Linked DNA regions of Tribolium castaneum. The protein of the gene in region 1 interacts with the protein of each later gene in a biochemical or structural test. Links are inferred from orthologs where the notes say so. Each region holds a gene or a part of one and is shown on either strand. Other genes may lie near its edges. The genes, in order: Mekk1 and Mkk4.

Region 1 (7,937 bases):
TCATTCCCATTGGTCGAACGTGCACGTCAGCGGTCAGCTGTCAATGTCATTATTCGCAAGTCTGCCGAAAGATGGGTTAATTCTGCGAATCTGTGTTTGTGAAACGTTCCACATTCGCAAAAAATGTTCAGTCGATTTACTCGCAATTATGTGAAATAAAAAACGGACAGGTAAATCAGTTCGCGCTGTTTTACGATACTATAAAATGATAGAGTGAACCATCGGTTCTGATAGGTTATGTAAACTTAGATAAAATGTGTGAGTATTTGTCATTAGTGTTATCGAGTTAATTTGTTTACCGTAAGAGATTAATTACGATGAGTGATCCCAATAGTACATACTTTAGTAAATTACGGTAAGGGGTGTTGTATTACGCAATTCAATTGTGTATTAACCAACACGTAAGAAGTTATGGCCTACAGCCCCATCGAGCAAGACTGTGATTTAAGTGACTACGATTTGTACAGTAAAACCCCACCACGAACCAAAATTTTGCGTAAAAATCGCGAACGCAAGCAGAAACACAAAGATACAAGGTAAAAAACCACTCTTTCTAACCCATCTCACTGAGCAAAATTCCAGCACGATGTCCTCACCTAAAGTCATCAAACCTAAGCCCTTAAGTCGGCGTAACACCATCAGCAGCATGTTCGAAGAGCTTGTTGCCAAGGCCGAAAATGACTCGGACCAAGGCTCCAAAAGGTCCAACAAGCGCCAGTTGAAAATGCTGCGAGGGTCTGAACGTGACCTGAAGCTGGACATTGCCAGTGCCCAAGCGGCCTCTGAGAAAAACCAAGAATTCAAACACCCAAAAACACCACAACCTAGTTATCAGATCGAGAGCTGTAAAAGATTCATGAGCTTGTCTTGTCGGACTGTTCCTTGCTCGAAACTGTTGAAGAGTAAAAAAGATAATAAAGTCAAATGTGACGAAATTAGCAATGAGGAGTGTTCCGAAAATCGAGTCGATTTTTACAACACTTTCTCAATGCTAATTCGAATGGGCTGCGGTGATAAAACGCAGGAAATGAGTCACAGACGCGCTGTAAGTATTTTATTTTATATTTTTTTAAGTCTTAAGTGTTTGTTCGGTCTAGAACGATGATTGATCAGTATTTTATTTATATTTTCTTCTCGATGTTATAACAAGGCCATAACTAGTATTGACTCTGAACTCAAAAAAATCAGTGTTTGGTTTTTAAGAAACTAAATTTTAATCAAACTTTGATATCTTACAAACTATTTCTCGTAGACAAAAAATGAATTCAGATTCAGAATTCTTGAATAATTTTGCTCATGAAAAACTCAGAAACAGTTAAAAGCTTTGATCTCGTACAATTTTGATGAACCAAACTTAATAATGGTTTATAAGTTTATACCAGTTTTTAATTGTTTATAAATTATTATTTAAACTTAATATTATTGCATTGTCAGGGAGATTACGTGTGTATGTAAAAATCCAGCTCGGTCGGATAACAGGAACTTTTTCAAATTTGATTCGCAAAATATGAAACGGATAACAAAGCAAGTTAAATAAAAACTTAAAAAGACGTTTGTTTGTTAATAGAATATACATTTTTTATAAGTTTTAATAAATAAAAAAAGTAATTGGACATTACATAGTATGCGGTAATTTTTTTATTAGTTTTTAATGTCTCTCTAAAACAAACGATACTTAACTGTAGTTTTGTACAACATCGAAAAATTGACACTAGACTAAATAAAGATCAAAAAGGCAAACCAGGGTCTAGAATTCGTTAAAATGGTTCAAGACATCAAGAAATTCCAACATTTAAAAAATTAAAAGTGCCCATTTCTTCAAACTAATCTTTACCTTAAGGATACTACTAGCTGTAGTTGAAAAATAAGAACAGTTTCGAAATCCTCAGACAATTTTCTATAAGAAAAACTTATATCACATGTAGTAAAAAACATAGGTATTCAGAAATCTAGAATAATCTAAGCTCAAGTATATATTTTGATCCGAACTATCTAGCTTCAATTAAAAAACAATTATAAGTTTAAAAAAAAGTTTTATTTTTTAAAGATAACTAAAAGGTAAAAAATGTTTTTGTCAAAGGAGAGTATTTTCGCTTACAAATTATGATTCTAAAATTTATAAAAACTTTGGGGGTTATTAACTATAGGATTGCATTGTCATGATTATTACGTAAGTATGCAAAATTTCAATTCATTCTGACAACAGAAACCCTTTTAATTTGGCTCGGAAAGTATGAAACATACAGTCAGACAACAAAGCAAGTTAAATAAAAATTTTAAGAAAGTACTCATTTCTTAATACAACTATTATTGTATCTTGAGGATCTAAACTTTGATTTTAAAAATTATTGGTTATAAAGCCAGATTCGAAATTTTCAGATCATTTTTCTTGGGAAGAGCTGAAGTTTGAGCTGTTTTGATATATGGGTTAGTTATCCGTAGAGTTAATCTAAGATAAATAGTATTTTCCACATTTTGTGGAAGTTTGTTATCACTGCTAAAAACAAACAAATGATGGCAATTCGCTACCTCCAACAACTTTTACTGAACATTCATTGTTTTTGCTGAATAAATATTATACCTGATGTTTAAAACTCGCACACTACCGTTGTTTAATTTTTTTTATAGCTGAGCAAGGAGGAGCATTTGTGGCAAAACGAATTTAAAGATTTGATTTGGCTTGAATTGCAAGCGTTCCATGCGGACCGAACCCCAAGCGAAGAAGACAGATACTTGTGTTCCGAACGGGAAAAAGTTGAACCTCTTTTACATGATATAATGACTTATCGCTACCAAAAAAATTCGAAATGTTACTCGACCCAAAGCAGCGACAGTGGCGTTGAGGACGACTGTTCTGGTTGTCTTTCAATCTACTGTGGTTCGTGTCTTGAGGCCCAAAACGAAGCCCTTAAAGATGTGGAAGAATTGATGCAAAGATTATCAGCGGTGGAAGCTTTGTTCCCTTCCGGACACGCTTTTGCCGAACTGTACCCATTATATAACAGTCCTGAGTTCATAGCGAGGGTCAAGGCTATCAGTTTATGGTACAACATGACGCGACAGCAGAGACTGAAACTAATGATTCTTGTTAAATTATTAGAAAATAAAGTGAGTAGAGATGATGATAAAAACGGGACGGAATCAAACAGTCCCAGTGATAGCAATAACAGTTCCTCATCTTCGGTAAATGAGTCGTTCTATGATTGCAAGTCAAGTCAGGATGCTACTGTTTTTTCTTTTGCGCCTTTTCCCTTCTTACATGTGCATAAGTCGGAAAGCTCGGTCTCACCATATCGAAAATACATCGAAAACATTCTTAAAACGCGATCGCTCCACAAAAGTTTGAGTTTCTTGGATCATCTCCAAATGGTTGTTTTGCGACGTGTTCAGCTAACCTTGACCAAACCGGAAACCGACGATATTTACAACAAAGTGACTTGTGAAACGGAAGATGAAGAGTTGCAACGTTTTGGGTACTTTAGCCCTGAAGCCAAAGCCTTGAACTTGCCATCCTATCGTGCAATTTTTCTCTTCCTTGCCGCAATTCCGCTCAAAATGATACACGAGTTTTTGAAGATGCGTTTGGAGCAAAAACCTGAAAAACCGTCTCCTTTGAGCGTCCGCCAACTGATGAGGGAGTTAAAAGAAGGCTTAAAAGTCGCAACGCAACAAAAAGAAAAGATCTTGAAGTACATTGACGGTGCGATCTCTGATAGCAAAAAACCGAACGATGTGTTTGAAGAAAAGATGAGGGATTATAACGAGTGTATGTTGCGGGTGTTTAGTGACTATTTGGACTATCTGGAACAGTGGGCCTTGTTGCACCATGAGACTTTCCAGAAGAATTTGTTGGAAGAAGAGTGGCATTTTTCGTGTAATGTGATTAAGTATATTCCGGGCGGGTCGGAACTTTTAGGGAAAAAGTTTGTGTTTATTTTGTGTTCGATTTTAAAGTCGGTCGCTGAAAGGCTGCACGATCGGATCGAGGACGTGCTTTGTAACATGCCCAAAGACGACAAAAATATGATCAAGTAAGTGACGGGAATGTTAATTTGTTGCCAAAAAAATTAATTCGATTCGGTGGGAAATTATAATAGTTTCCGCCAATTCCATTGTTTGCTGTTTATGTAAACAACAAACATGAACAAGCTTTAAATTTTTATTAACTGGAAGCGACAAATGATAATTTGATATAAGCGCTGTTGTAAATTTTTCTCGGCTAAACAAAGTGGAAATGAAAAAATGTGCAGCTGAAGGTCGCCCTTTATCGCTATTTCAGTTGTATATCAGTCAAATGCAACAGTCATGTGTTTGGAAAGTTTAAATATGCAATGAGTATTTTATTATCGCAAAAAGATAAACAGTATTTCACGCTTTTTTAGGGAAATTACTTCGTGAGAATAAATTAATAACTCGAATGTTTGCCTAATAGAGCGGTACAGTAAAGGCTCTTTTATCCGATCCTCCTGTAAGCAGCAAGTGTATTGACTGCGTTTGATAATTCGAATTGTAATTACTTTTTTTTTCTAAAATAATTTCAACTGCAAAAAAAACAGTAAAATTGAAGAAACCAATTAAAAATCTTTTTGTTTTTAGTGTTACTAATGTAGTTCAAAATCATTTGTTGGTTTGTTTTAACAGAAACTTTAACGTATCTCAGCTAAATTACTCCTCACATCATCTAATCTGAGCAAGTTGAATGAAAGGAAACCAGAGACCTATTTTACGATTAAAGTTTTCAACTTTTCATTTTAAAATTATTTCATAATTCACCATTACAAAAAAAGTGCTGAAATGTAGTCATTTTTTAAATTTTTTAACGTTTCCGTTGTATCGTTCCCTATTTTTGTTAAGGTAGAATGCAATTTAATGAAAAATAAAGAAATTTATTCTAAATATTTGCTGTGTCATTTTTCAGTTTTCAAGCGTTTTATAAAACAATGTAAAAAGAAAGATTTATAACAATCATTAATACAAGTGAGAAAACACAAGCTTAAAGTTCGAGGCTGTCGTTATGCAACGAGCGTATGCGAGAACTTTAAGCGTTTTCGCATAAGTGTTATTCAAATTTTTTTTAATGGGAACATTGTAATTTAAAACACGTTGCTACGAGAAGCGTGTTTTAAAATAGTGAAAACACGTTGCTATCGAAAACGTGTTTTAAAATAGTGTTTATAATATAGGATTCAGATTTTAAAAAGAAGGCTTAAAATGTAACCGACAAAAAAATTAACAAATCTTACTATTTATTTCTTAGAAGCCTGATTTTAAAATTGCTATGGGGACAAAAAGAAAGTTTAAATTGAAGTTATTCCTAATAATTGAATTTTCTTGATATTTTGTTAAATATTTTAATAATTCAGTAATAAATACTCGGAATTTTTACTCGTTTTAATCCGTACTTCAAAAATCTATGATCTGCAGTGTCATTGCAATAATTAATCTGGATTAGTTCCATTTTTTCAATCAAAAATTTTAATCTCCACTAACAAACTATTCATTATTTAAAGCCGAATTTTGCCTGAATACTAAAGATTTATAACGGAACTGGGTGATTTCAACATACACTGCAGACGAAAGCATACTGATTATTTTAAATTGTTATATTCCAGGCAAACCGTGTTCGTCATTTGCCGCGAAATGCAGTCTCTCTTCAACGAAGAGCGCGAAATGAGCATCAAAACCATTGCTTTTTGCAAGACTGTCTTTCGCCACGACCTTCACCCTGATTGCAGATCAGAACTAGTAGTACGTTTTTTCTTCTTCATAATTAGCCAAATCAATAACTAACATTTTAGTGCTCAATAATTTCCCTAAAATGTTCAATACCCGACGCCATAGGCCGTGTCCAGTCCGAATTCGATCAAGTCAAACTAGACTCATTTGAAGAAATCGAACGAACGGCTATAGTCTCCCGCACAAGGGAAATCTTAATGCAAGCCTACCGTTTCGGCTTCGAAGTACTATAAAAAATTCACAAGCTTCACCGTCAATTAACTTCCAATTTTTTAGTTTTACAAAGAAATGTCCGATAGCATCCCTACGGACAGGCGCGAGAAACTCGCTAGAAGTATGGTACAATTTGCGAATTTGTGGATGAAATTCGTGACTGAACGATGCGAGAGGGGGCGAGGGATGAGACCACGGTGGGCTTATCAAGGGTTGGAGTTTCTCTTAACTGTGTGTGAACCTCGAAACACTAAGCATTTGACGGAAGAAGAGTTCGAAGATCTGAAGAAGAATATGGATGTTTGCATAAGTCATGTGATAGGAACTACGGCTCCTTCGACGCCGGAGTCAGGGTTTTATTCGGCGTCGCCGAGGAGTTCGATTGAGCATATAAGGGCCAGGTCGAGGGGGTCGTCCCCGAGTCCGAGGCCTTCGTATAAAAGCCAAAGATCGAATAGTCGCAAAACTAGCATGGAACAAGGGTCGCCGGTTATTGATAGTTTGGATGCTATTAGTTTTAATCCACACAGGTAAGTGGGTTTGCTTAGTTAATTTTCGAGTGCGAGCTAAACCAGAATTTTTCTACGAAGAAAGCTAAATTTTATTGCAGATTCTCATTGACTAAGTTTTTGTTAACGCTTAAAAAAAATTCTATTATGTCTGTTTATTATAAAAATGCCTATTCGGTGAAATAAATTTTCTAATTATTATCAGTATGAATAAAAACTAAAAATGTATGTGATAAAATTTTAATTACTTGATTAAGTTGTCTGGGACAGTAACCCAACTCTCGTCGGGTATAGTTAATAAATAATTAATAAAATTAAGGGTAATAAAATTATCTGTTTTTTTTAAACTAAGAAATCCAAATTGAATGAAATTTGAAATTTTAAAATTGACAGAAAATGTGAATCTAATGAAAAATTTAGAGAAGACTATCAAATTTTGCAAAATTTGTAATCGAGTTTGTAACAAAACATGTAATGTTGATGCATTTTACAGATGCAGGCTTCGTAAAATTACGTGAACCACCCTGTATTAAGATCTAGAAGCATATTTATTTCTTGCTATTTCTTTGTTTTCTCTTGACTTGTGGTAAAAAATGTTCGGCTAAACATAAAAATGTACGCAATTTTTCCCAAATTATTTAATTTTTAATTATTTGTTTAATTTTTTAATTTTTTTCCCTTGCTTTTGTATTTCCGATGTTGTCGGATGCGATTTATTGGCGAATTTGCTGGTTTCTTAAATGTTTTGTATTCCATAAGATTTCTTACATTGGATAAACTTTTAATCTTTTAACATTTTATAATCAAAAAAAGTTTGGTTTGTCAATAACTTAAATTTATTAATCGGACTTTCTTTTCATTATCGCGTCGTTATTTTTGAAAAATTGGTCGTATGTTTGGCAACTGAAAATGTTAAGCTGAGAATCGGACATTGTGATCAAAACAAAGTTCATTTGGTCGAAACTGTAATAGTACTTACCTTTTGCAAGTTTTCTCTTTAAATTTATTAAAAATTCTGATGGATTAGTTATTTTAATTGGCGAATGTTCAAAATTATAACACATCTATTTAAATAATTTCTTACTTCAGAATCAAGGGCCAAACAAAAAAATTATAAGATACACAAAATGTTTAGACATAACGGATTTTTCTCATACTTGGGTAACGTCTAAGAAAAATAAAGCTTCAAATGTTTAAACTTATTAATGATAAGTTCTTTACAATTATAAAAAAAATTGCAACTAAAACATGTAATTTTAATAGTAAATTGGTTTCTCTTTTGTACCCTTTTTTTGCTGCACAGGAAATTAAATTTAATTGTTTACAAAAATTTGATTCATACACATAATTTTTTCTACTGTTAAACCATTTATGGACCACTCTAAGATTTTTGTATGCCATCATTTCTAATTAATTTTGAATTTTACCTAACTTTTTGAGAACTATAATTTGTAAAAACCTCGTGTTCATTGACTTTGT
Region 2 (8,622 bases), on another chromosome or scaffold:
GCCGAGAAAAAATCACAACTTGAAGAATTGCAATTACAGTTGGGCAAAAGAGAGGAGGAGTTGGCCCAGGCTATGGTCCGAGTCGACGAAGAAGGCGCCCTTAAGGCCCAAGCCCAGAAAGCCCTCCGGGAGATGGAAAGCCAACTCAGCGAACTACAAGAGGATTTAGAAGCGGAAAAAGCCGCCAGGAGCAAGGCCGAAAAATTAAAACGCGACTTAAACGAAGAACTTGAAGCGTTGAAAAACGAACTACTGGACTCACTTGATACCACAGCCGCCCAACAAGAATTGCGTTCAAAACGTGAACAAGAACTCGCCAATTTGAAGAAGAACTTGGAAGAGGAGAACCAAGTCCATGAAGCGACTTTGGCCGACATGCGCCACAAACACACCCAAGAACTGGCTTCCTTGAACGAACAATTGGAAAATATCAAGAAACAGAAAGCCAGTATCGAAAAAGCGAAGCAAGGACTCGAAGCCGAAAACGCCGACTTGACAAGCGAGTTGCGAAATGTCGGAGCGAGTCGACAAGAAGGCGAACGGCGAAGAAAACAAGCCGAGAGCCAATTGGTCGAAATCCAAGGCAAGCTGGGCGAAATTGAACGAGCTCGAGCCGAACTTGCCGAAAAAAATCAAAAACTACAACAGGAGATGGACAATGTGGTCCAACAGCTGGAGGAAGCCGAACTGAAAGCGTCCGCAGCTGTGAAGAATCAAGGAACTATCGAATCGCAATTTGCCGAGGCACAAAGTGCCCTGGAGGAGGAGACACGCCAGAAGTTGGCTTTGAGTTCGAAACTGCGCCAATTGGAGTCGGACAAGGAGAATTTGCAAGAACAGATCGAGGAGGAGGAAGAAGCGAAGAAAAATCTCGAGAAACAATTGAACGCGGTTATGGTCCAACTGGCCGAAGCGAAGAAAAAGGCCGAAGATGAGGCCGAACAATCGGCGATTTTGGAAGAAAGCAAGAAGAAACTGGCCAAAGATTTGGAGTTGTTGCAACGTCAAGTCGAGGAATTGACCGCGGCCAACGACAAGTTGGAGCGAAGCAAGAAGAAGATCGCCGCCGAACTGGAAGATACTAACATTGATTTGGAGGCGCAGCGCCAGAAAGTGGCCGAGCTGGAGAAGAAGCAGAAGAATTTCGATAAAGTCTTGGCCGAAGAAAAGCAAGTCAGTGAGCAACTGATGGCGGAAAAAGACGCCGCTGAGCGAGAAGCCCGCGAGAAGGAAACTCGAGTCTTGTCACTGAGCCGCGAACTGGACGAATCCAACGTCAAAGTTGAAGAACTGGAACGCATCAAGCGCCAACTTCAGGCCGAACTGGACGAACTGGTCAATAATCAAGGCACCGCCGACAAGAACGTGCACGAGTTGGAGAAAGCCAAACGTTCGCTTGAAACCCAACTGGCGGAACTGAAAGCCCAGAACGAAGAACTGGAAGATGAGCTACAACTCACCGAAGATGCAAAACTCCGACTTGAGGTGAACATGCAAGCATTGCGGGCGCAATTCGAACGCGACGTCCAAGCCAAGGAGGAGCAAGCCGAGGAGAAACGCCGCGGAATCGTCAAACAATTGCGCGATTTGGAGGCCGAACTGGACGAAGAACGGAAGCAAAGAGCGGCCGCAGTCACCGCTCGAAAGAAACTCGAAGGCGATTTGAAAGAGCTCGAAGCTCAGATCGAAATGCAATGCAAGATGAAAGAAGACGCGTTGAAACAGTTGAAGAAGTCGCAACAGCAGTGCAAGGAGGCGGTGCGAGACGCCGAAGAAGCGCGCGCTTCGCGCGACGAACTCGCCGCCGGGTGTAAAGAAGCCGAACGTAAAGTTAAAGCACTCGAAGCTGAGGTGCTTCAATTGAGCGAAGATCACGCCAGTTCGGAGCGCGCTCGTCGAGCTGCCGAAGCCGAACGCGATGAACTGCTCGAAGAGGTTAATAATACGAACAGTAAGGGGGCGTTGTTGATCGATGAGAAGCGGCGTCTTGAAGCTAGGATTGCCACGCTTGAGGAGGAGATTGAAGAGGAGCAGAGTAACAATGAACTGTTGCAAGACCGGGCAAGGAAGGCACAGTTGACTATTGAGCAATTGACGAGTGAGTTGGCCACGGAACGATCACTGGCTCAGAAACAAGAGTCGGGTAAATTGCTGCTCGAGAGACAGAATAAGGAGTTGAAGGCCAAGTTGAGTGAGTTGGAGACGGCACAAAGGACCAAGACGAAGGCGACGATCGCGGCGTTGGAGAGCAAGATTGGGAATTTGGAGGAGCAGTTGGAGGTCGAGGCCAAGGAGAGGTTGGCGCAGCAAAAGACCAACCGGAAGTTGGACAAGAAGTTGAAGGAGTTGGTCATGCAGTTGGAGGATGAGCGGAGACATGCCGACCAGTATAAGGAGCAAGTGGATAAGGCGAACGCACGGGTTAAGACGCTGAAGCGGCAGTTGGATGAGGCCGAGGAAGAGATAACGAGGGAGAAGGCGCAGAAGAGGAAAGTGCAAAGGGATTATGAGGATATGCTGGAGAGTAATGAATCAATGACGCGGGAGCTTAACAGTCTTAAGACCAAACTGAGGTGAGTTTTCACGTCAAATTACACGCTTTCGTTTCATCTCTCACGCAGTCATTCGGCCATTCCAGGTAATGAACCTGACACCGAAATTGAGTAGTAATATTATTTTTTATCTTCGTAACTTTTGCGGTCCCGTCCGTTATTGATTTCTTACGTCGTTAAAAAAGTCCAAGAAATTTAAATTTTCATTCTCTGAATATTTTTTTTAGTTATTTTCACACATAAGATTTTTTGTCCCATCCGTTATGTATAAACAAAAAGTAAACACAAGTCGTTATCCATTGCCTTGTTCTTCGTTTTCGTAGTTTTAACAAGTTCTACATTTTATTTCAATAATAATTATTGTAATTAGTGCTTTTTAAGATAGCACAATAATGATTTTCAACAATAAACAATTTTTTTTTGTGTCCCGTCCGTCATCAATTTGTATTTTTTACAAATGGGGCTGTGATTATAAAGTGAAAGCAAAGTGTCGCGTTCGTTGAATGGAATGGCTGTTTCACTTTTCCACTTTTGTTCACCCTCTTTTGGCTCTTTCAGCATTAAATGATAGCAGTTGCGTTCTTCCGGTGATCATGTGGTATGTGGTGTTTGATGGTATTAGCCTAACCGTTTTTCTTTCGCTTTTTCTGTTTGTTTTGCTTGACTAATGACTGGATTTGTTGTTGGTTGTGTGTTGATTTGTGGGTTTAATGATAGGCGCGGGACTGGGGCTAGTAGCGGCATGGGTCTGCCCAGACTCAGCGGTCGGGGCTCCATCCAGTCCGGGGGCAACGGCTCCGGTGACGATTCCACAACCCAGGATGACGCCATAGACGGCGAAGACGCCCCCAATTAGGTCGCATTTTTACGCATTCGGTTGTAAATATATTTGTATATCCCTTATTAGTACTTAGCATTTTTAATATGCGCATTTTGTGGATTATTTGTAAAAATCGGACAGTCAGTTCGGCGCTTAATCAGTATCAGTAATCAAGTTCATTATTTTTTTTATTTATAGTTTTTTTATTAATTTTAATATCGTGCTTTATAGTGATTAATTTGTACTTTTAACAGTTGATTGCATTTATTTATATGAAAGTCTACTTGCTTAATTTGTTTCTAGGGTTTCATCGTACTTTACCTTTTATAAATTTAGGAATTAGTTGGAAGCATCAGCATTTAAATAACATTTATGTATCTATTAATAATAATAATCAATAATCGCTAACGACAAATGACATTTTTTATACAACATTTATAGGATTATATATTTTGTAAAAAAATCCCGCTAGCATCGAGGAAATTTTGATATTTGACGTTTTTGTATAAAAAATTTCAGGTTTTTGTATGTATATATCCTTTTCATGTATAAAAAATATATACATATTTTGGGTTTCGGGCTGATTTATTTGTACTTTAACGAGTTCAATAAAATCGTAAAAAAGTCGACGTTTTTAAATTTACTGTTACCAAGCAAGTAACTTCAAATTAGCACACGCACACACGATTTTCGTCCAGTGAGTCTATTTTACCCCGACGTCCCCTACACTGTATTACAGGTTGCATAGGCTAAATCTAACCTCAACAGTAGGACTTGCTGATTTGTGTCATTATAAGCCCAAATATGCACTTTTCTTACCACTTGGAGTAGTTATGTAATGTAATAATACAGTAGTGAGTCCCTCTTGTTGAATTATACAAAAATAAGTCTTTGTTTTTAGTTTAGGATGTCTCTCATTCGGCTTATTTCCCCCCAGTACAGCCAAATTAAGCCTCTGTGTACTGTAACACAGAGCGAATTTAAGACAGTTTATAAGTTCCCCTTCGTCCGGGGCGTAGGCCTAATCAACCGTCTCAAATTATACCAAACTCTTTTAACCTCAGTCGCGCTACCAACAACTGCAATTTTAAATCAGTTAAACATTCTTTCGCACGACCATGTCCTGTTCACTGCAACTCTTGGAATTGCGGGAATTGTGCCTTTGTACGGTCTCGGTTACTTTGCAAATAAACTAGTCGGAATAGTGTATTTAAATGAAAAACAAGAGCAAGTCAAGTTTGCTTATTTGAACTTTTGGGGGTCCCGGAAAGACGTTGTGGTGCCTTTGAAAGACATAGTGCCACTTTCGGAGCTGTCGCGGTCTTTAACCGACCCTCTGTATTTAAAAATTCAGCAGTTTTCATCCAAAGAAACACTTAAGTTGTGTGTAAGGTATGGTGTCTTAGATCAAGCAGGCTTCAATAAAATATTCATAATTTACGAGGTGTTTATTAAGTTTAGCTCCATCTATAATGTGCGTAAGCCCTATTGGCCTCGCACTGCTTATGCAAGTCTTGTTTCCGCTTAACTACTCTTCCTTTATTATTTGCGGCGTCAATTAGCTCCAGCGCTAGCTGATAATGGAACCTGACATTCTTATCTTTCTCTTTGCTCGCCGCTATGAGCCACTTCATCGACATGAACTGGCTCCGCTTTGGCGTGATTGGCACTGGGACTTGATACCTAACACCCCCACGTTTTATGGGTGTTAGGTTCATTATCGGCTTACAATTCTCCACAGCTTTGTGGAAAATCGCACGAGGGTCCAACTCAATCTGGGCTTTGATTTCGGGGTCCTGGCACTTGTGGTACTTCTCCAATTGGATTCTCTTGATGTTTTCAAACGCCTGTTCTATTAACCCCCTAGCCAGGGGTTTGAGCCCGTCCTTCATGACATAATTGGTGAAAAGACTGTAAAAGTGTATTGAAGCGAATTGGAGCCATCGTGGGGGCCTTACTTGACTAAGTCATCCTGAGTGTGCGAACAAGTCTGGTTATTGAGGGCTGCCCTCGTGGGCATGTGGGTCAATTTCTGGGCCTCGCCGGTTTTAGCCAACTCTTCTTGAACCTCCTTCTTATAGACCGGCTGTATGTAATAACTTGGGTACTGCGACATGCCATTTTTCTGGATAATTAGGCTAAAAATTGACCATTGGAAAATGTGTGGTTAGGGGGACCACAAATGCGGAAATTGGCAACAACAAGTGTGAGACCAATTCGTTTAGTGATGGTAACGAAATTTGGGGCTTGTTTACCTTAAAGTGGGGACACTTCCTTTAATAATTTTCAAATTATTTGAAAATAACTTAATCGCAGCCATGTTAACACGTGCGCATGCCCGCCGCACACAGTCGGACAAGCAAATATTGGACGATGGTACAATTGGGTGCCACAATGACTTGTGCTGGTCCGTTGTATTCCCACTGTAGCCAACCGTAGGCTTTTTGTAGACGTCAAAATGGCGTCGTTTAGTTCCATTCCAGGCAGTTTTTGAGTGAGTTTTGAGTAAAAATCAAATGTTAATCGGTTTCGGACACCAGACTAAGCTTAGGGACGCTTCGATGAGCTAGTTCGGCACGTTAGTTGTGTTTTTCGCGTCTTAAATTTGGTCGAATTTTTGTGCAAAATGGCAGATCAGTCCAATCAAGGTATGTGTGCAAAGTTGCAATTGTTTTGTGTTTATTGGGGGCTGCTTCCAGTCCGGAGGCCTATGCTGAGCATAGACTTGCCCAACAGTGTGAATTCCATCGGGGGCTTTCGCCCGCTGCCCAGCCAGCCGGGGGCCACCAGCGAGCGTTTGGGGGCCGCAGCCGGGACAAACCGCCCCAAAATGAGCCTCCCGACCATCTCCAAGTCCACAGTCGATCCCACGATTGATAGAACGCGGTGAGTTTTGTTGCGACTTGTTTGTTTTCAACTCATCTCTCATTAATTTGATTTTGAATTCGCAGTTTTGGACCGAGTGAAAGAAATAAACAGCAAAGGTAACCAGAGTCATTTTTCGTGTTTTTGTCTTTGCATGGTCGAGTTTGTGTGTTTTGTGATTGTACGGTTTGTTTATTTTTTATAGGGATTCCCGGTTCAAAATTTGCCAGTCGATGAATTCCTCAGGGAAGCTCCAAATTGGGGGCAAAACCTACGATTTTACGTCCGATGATCTGCAGGACATTGGGGAGATAGGAAGGGGCGGTTTTGGGACTGTGAATAAAATGGTGCATAGAAAGTCGGGAACTGTGGTTGCGGTGAAGAGAATAAGGTCAACGGTTGATGAAAAGGAACAGAAACAACTGTTGATGGACTTGGATGTGGTGATGAAAAGCAACGAGTGCCATTACATCGTGCAGTTTTATGGGGCGCTGTTTAAGGAGGTTGGTTGCTTTGGGTTTTTTTGTTTTTCAATCTTACGTATTTGAAGATAAACGAAAGTAAATTTGTTTAGCGGTATAAAAACACCAAACTTGCACAATCGTGGATTTAATTTATGTTTTGATAAATTAGTAAGCGTTCTATTTTTAAATAGAGAAGCAGTAAAACAATGTTAATACTTATTTTTGAGATAAGGAATTGCATTTTTTTCTAACAGTATCGCCAAAACTACCTGAAAAAATACCAGATTGATGTTATTTTCGCATGTTTCATTCGATTAGTTCGGTTTTGAATTGTTATTATTTTATGTAATGGCAAAAAATAACTAGGTCCGTTTGTTGCATATTTTATTCACATTATTCAAAGACTTGTGAAGGTGTTTCTTGCTCTATGATGTAAGTTGCAGGGGGATTGCTGGATCGTGATGGAACTAATGGACACCTCATTGGATAAATTCTACAAATTCATCTACGACAAACTGGGCGATCGAATTCCGGAAGAAATCCTCGGAAAAATAGCCCTAGCGACTGTGAAAGCCTTAAACTACTTAAAGGAGAAACTAAAAATAATACATCGAGATGTAAAACCAAGCAATATTTTACTAGACAGGAAGGGAAACATCAAGTTGTGTGATTTTGGAATTTCGGGACAGTTGGTCGATTCAATTGCACGGACACGTGATGCTGGATGTCGCCCGTATATGGCTGTAAATAATGCAGATTTGTGGTGTTTTTCCCAAATAATTTGCGTATTTTTAGCCCGAGAGAATCGATCCACAGACGGCCAAAGGCTACGACGTGCGAAGCGATGTCTGGTCGTTGGGAATAACGCTGATGGAGGTGGCCACCGGTCGTTTTCCCTACCCGAGATGGTCGAGCGTTTTCGACCAATTACACCAAGTCGTTAACGGGGAACCCCCGCGCCTTACCGAAAACCATAACGCCAATACTTTTACGTCAGAGTTTGTTAATTTTGTAAATACTTGGTAAGGCGGCAAGTGGTTTTTGTGTCCCAAATTGATTTTTCCCTTCACTAGTTTAATAAAAGACGAACACTCCAGACCAAAGTACAAGCGACTGCTCGAAGACCCGTTCATTTTGCGGGCGCAGAAGGAGAAAGTGGACGTTGCAGCCTACGTTTCGCGCATCATGGACGAGATGGCGAACAACGGGATCAGCGCGTTCACGACGAACCAGCAGTGAAGTAAGCAGTCAGGTGATGTAGAGAAAACTGTTAGTGAGTTGTCGCTTAATCATTTATTGGTTGGTAAGTTTGTGCAATTGCGCGGCGTTCGCGATTCCTTGGTGATAAACTCGAGATGAGATTTCAGACCAATCGGATTAAATCGAACTAATTCGCTTGAAAACAATCTGACAATACTATCAAATCGTTCGGGGTTAGTCCGATTTAAGTGTTCTATTGATTGGTCGCGTTATGTTTAGGTTCAAATGTAATAAATAATAGCTTTAGTAACGTAAATGTTACATAGATGAAGCCACTGATTAAGAAAACAGTCCATTGTATATAATATAGTACATGTCCGGTCTTGAGTTCGAATTTAATGTGATGTCTTAGCATTTATTGGATGCATTCGAGGTGCTTTTCGCGTATATTTTTCTTATTTTCAAATTGTTACCGATTTTAAACAATAAAACGTTGCCTGTTCTATTGTACCATGTACGATCTTTGACTGTATATAATTAGTGTATGTTGTTAATATTTAATTTTTTACTCAATTGTTTAAGAATAAGCAAATTGTACGTTTATTTACGACACGATGTTGAGTATGTAAAGTAAAATTGTACAGAAAACAAGCAACAGTTTATTATCGCTCCCAGATACGGAAAATCACATACATGGTTTAATGCCTCCACAGTAGAGCAA

The links.
Region 2: the proteins of Mekk1 (region 1) and Mkk4 form a complex in vitro, tested with the Homo sapiens proteins (2 studies listed by BioGRID, with this or other methods). The link is inferred for Tribolium castaneum from reciprocal best matches to the Homo sapiens genes MAP3K4 and MAP2K4.

Annotation. Positions count from the first base shown.
Region 1 is NC_087397.1:8,507,810-8,515,746, reverse strand, and holds the start of Mekk1 (mitogen-activated protein kinase kinase kinase 4), read left to right. Parts: upstream 1-37; 5' UTR 38-411; coding exon 412-536; intron 537-582; coding exon 583-1,045; intron 1,046-2,628; coding exon 2,629-4,031; intron 4,032-5,612; coding exon 5,613-5,748; intron 5,749-5,798; coding exon 5,799-5,960; intron 5,961-6,012; coding exon 6,013-6,479; intron 6,480-7,937. UniProt on the Homo sapiens protein: Component of a protein kinase signal transduction cascade. Activates the CSBP2, P38 and JNK MAPK pathways, but not the ERK pathway. Specifically phosphorylates and activates MAP2K4 and MAP2K6.
Region 2 is NC_087399.1:2,894,902-2,903,523, forward strand, and holds the start of Mkk4 (dual specificity mitogen-activated protein kinase kinase 4), read left to right. Parts: upstream 1-5,816; 5' UTR 5,817-5,998; coding exon 5,999-6,020; intron 6,021-6,071; coding exon 6,072-6,258; intron 6,259-6,323; coding exon 6,324-6,356; intron 6,357-6,442; coding exon 6,443-6,740; intron 6,741-7,138; coding exon 7,139-7,444; intron 7,445-7,496; coding exon 7,497-7,723; intron 7,724-7,774; coding exon 7,775-7,940; 3' UTR 7,941-8,622. Other genes in the region: zip (myosin heavy chain, non-muscle), read left to right, coding at 1-2,573, 3,270-3,408; mRpS7 (small ribosomal subunit protein uS7m), read right to left, coding at 4,830-5,283, 5,331-5,510, 5,628-5,692. UniProt on the Homo sapiens protein: Dual specificity protein kinase which acts as an essential component of the MAP kinase signal transduction pathway. Essential component of the stress-activated protein kinase/c-Jun N-terminal kinase (SAP/JNK) signaling pathway.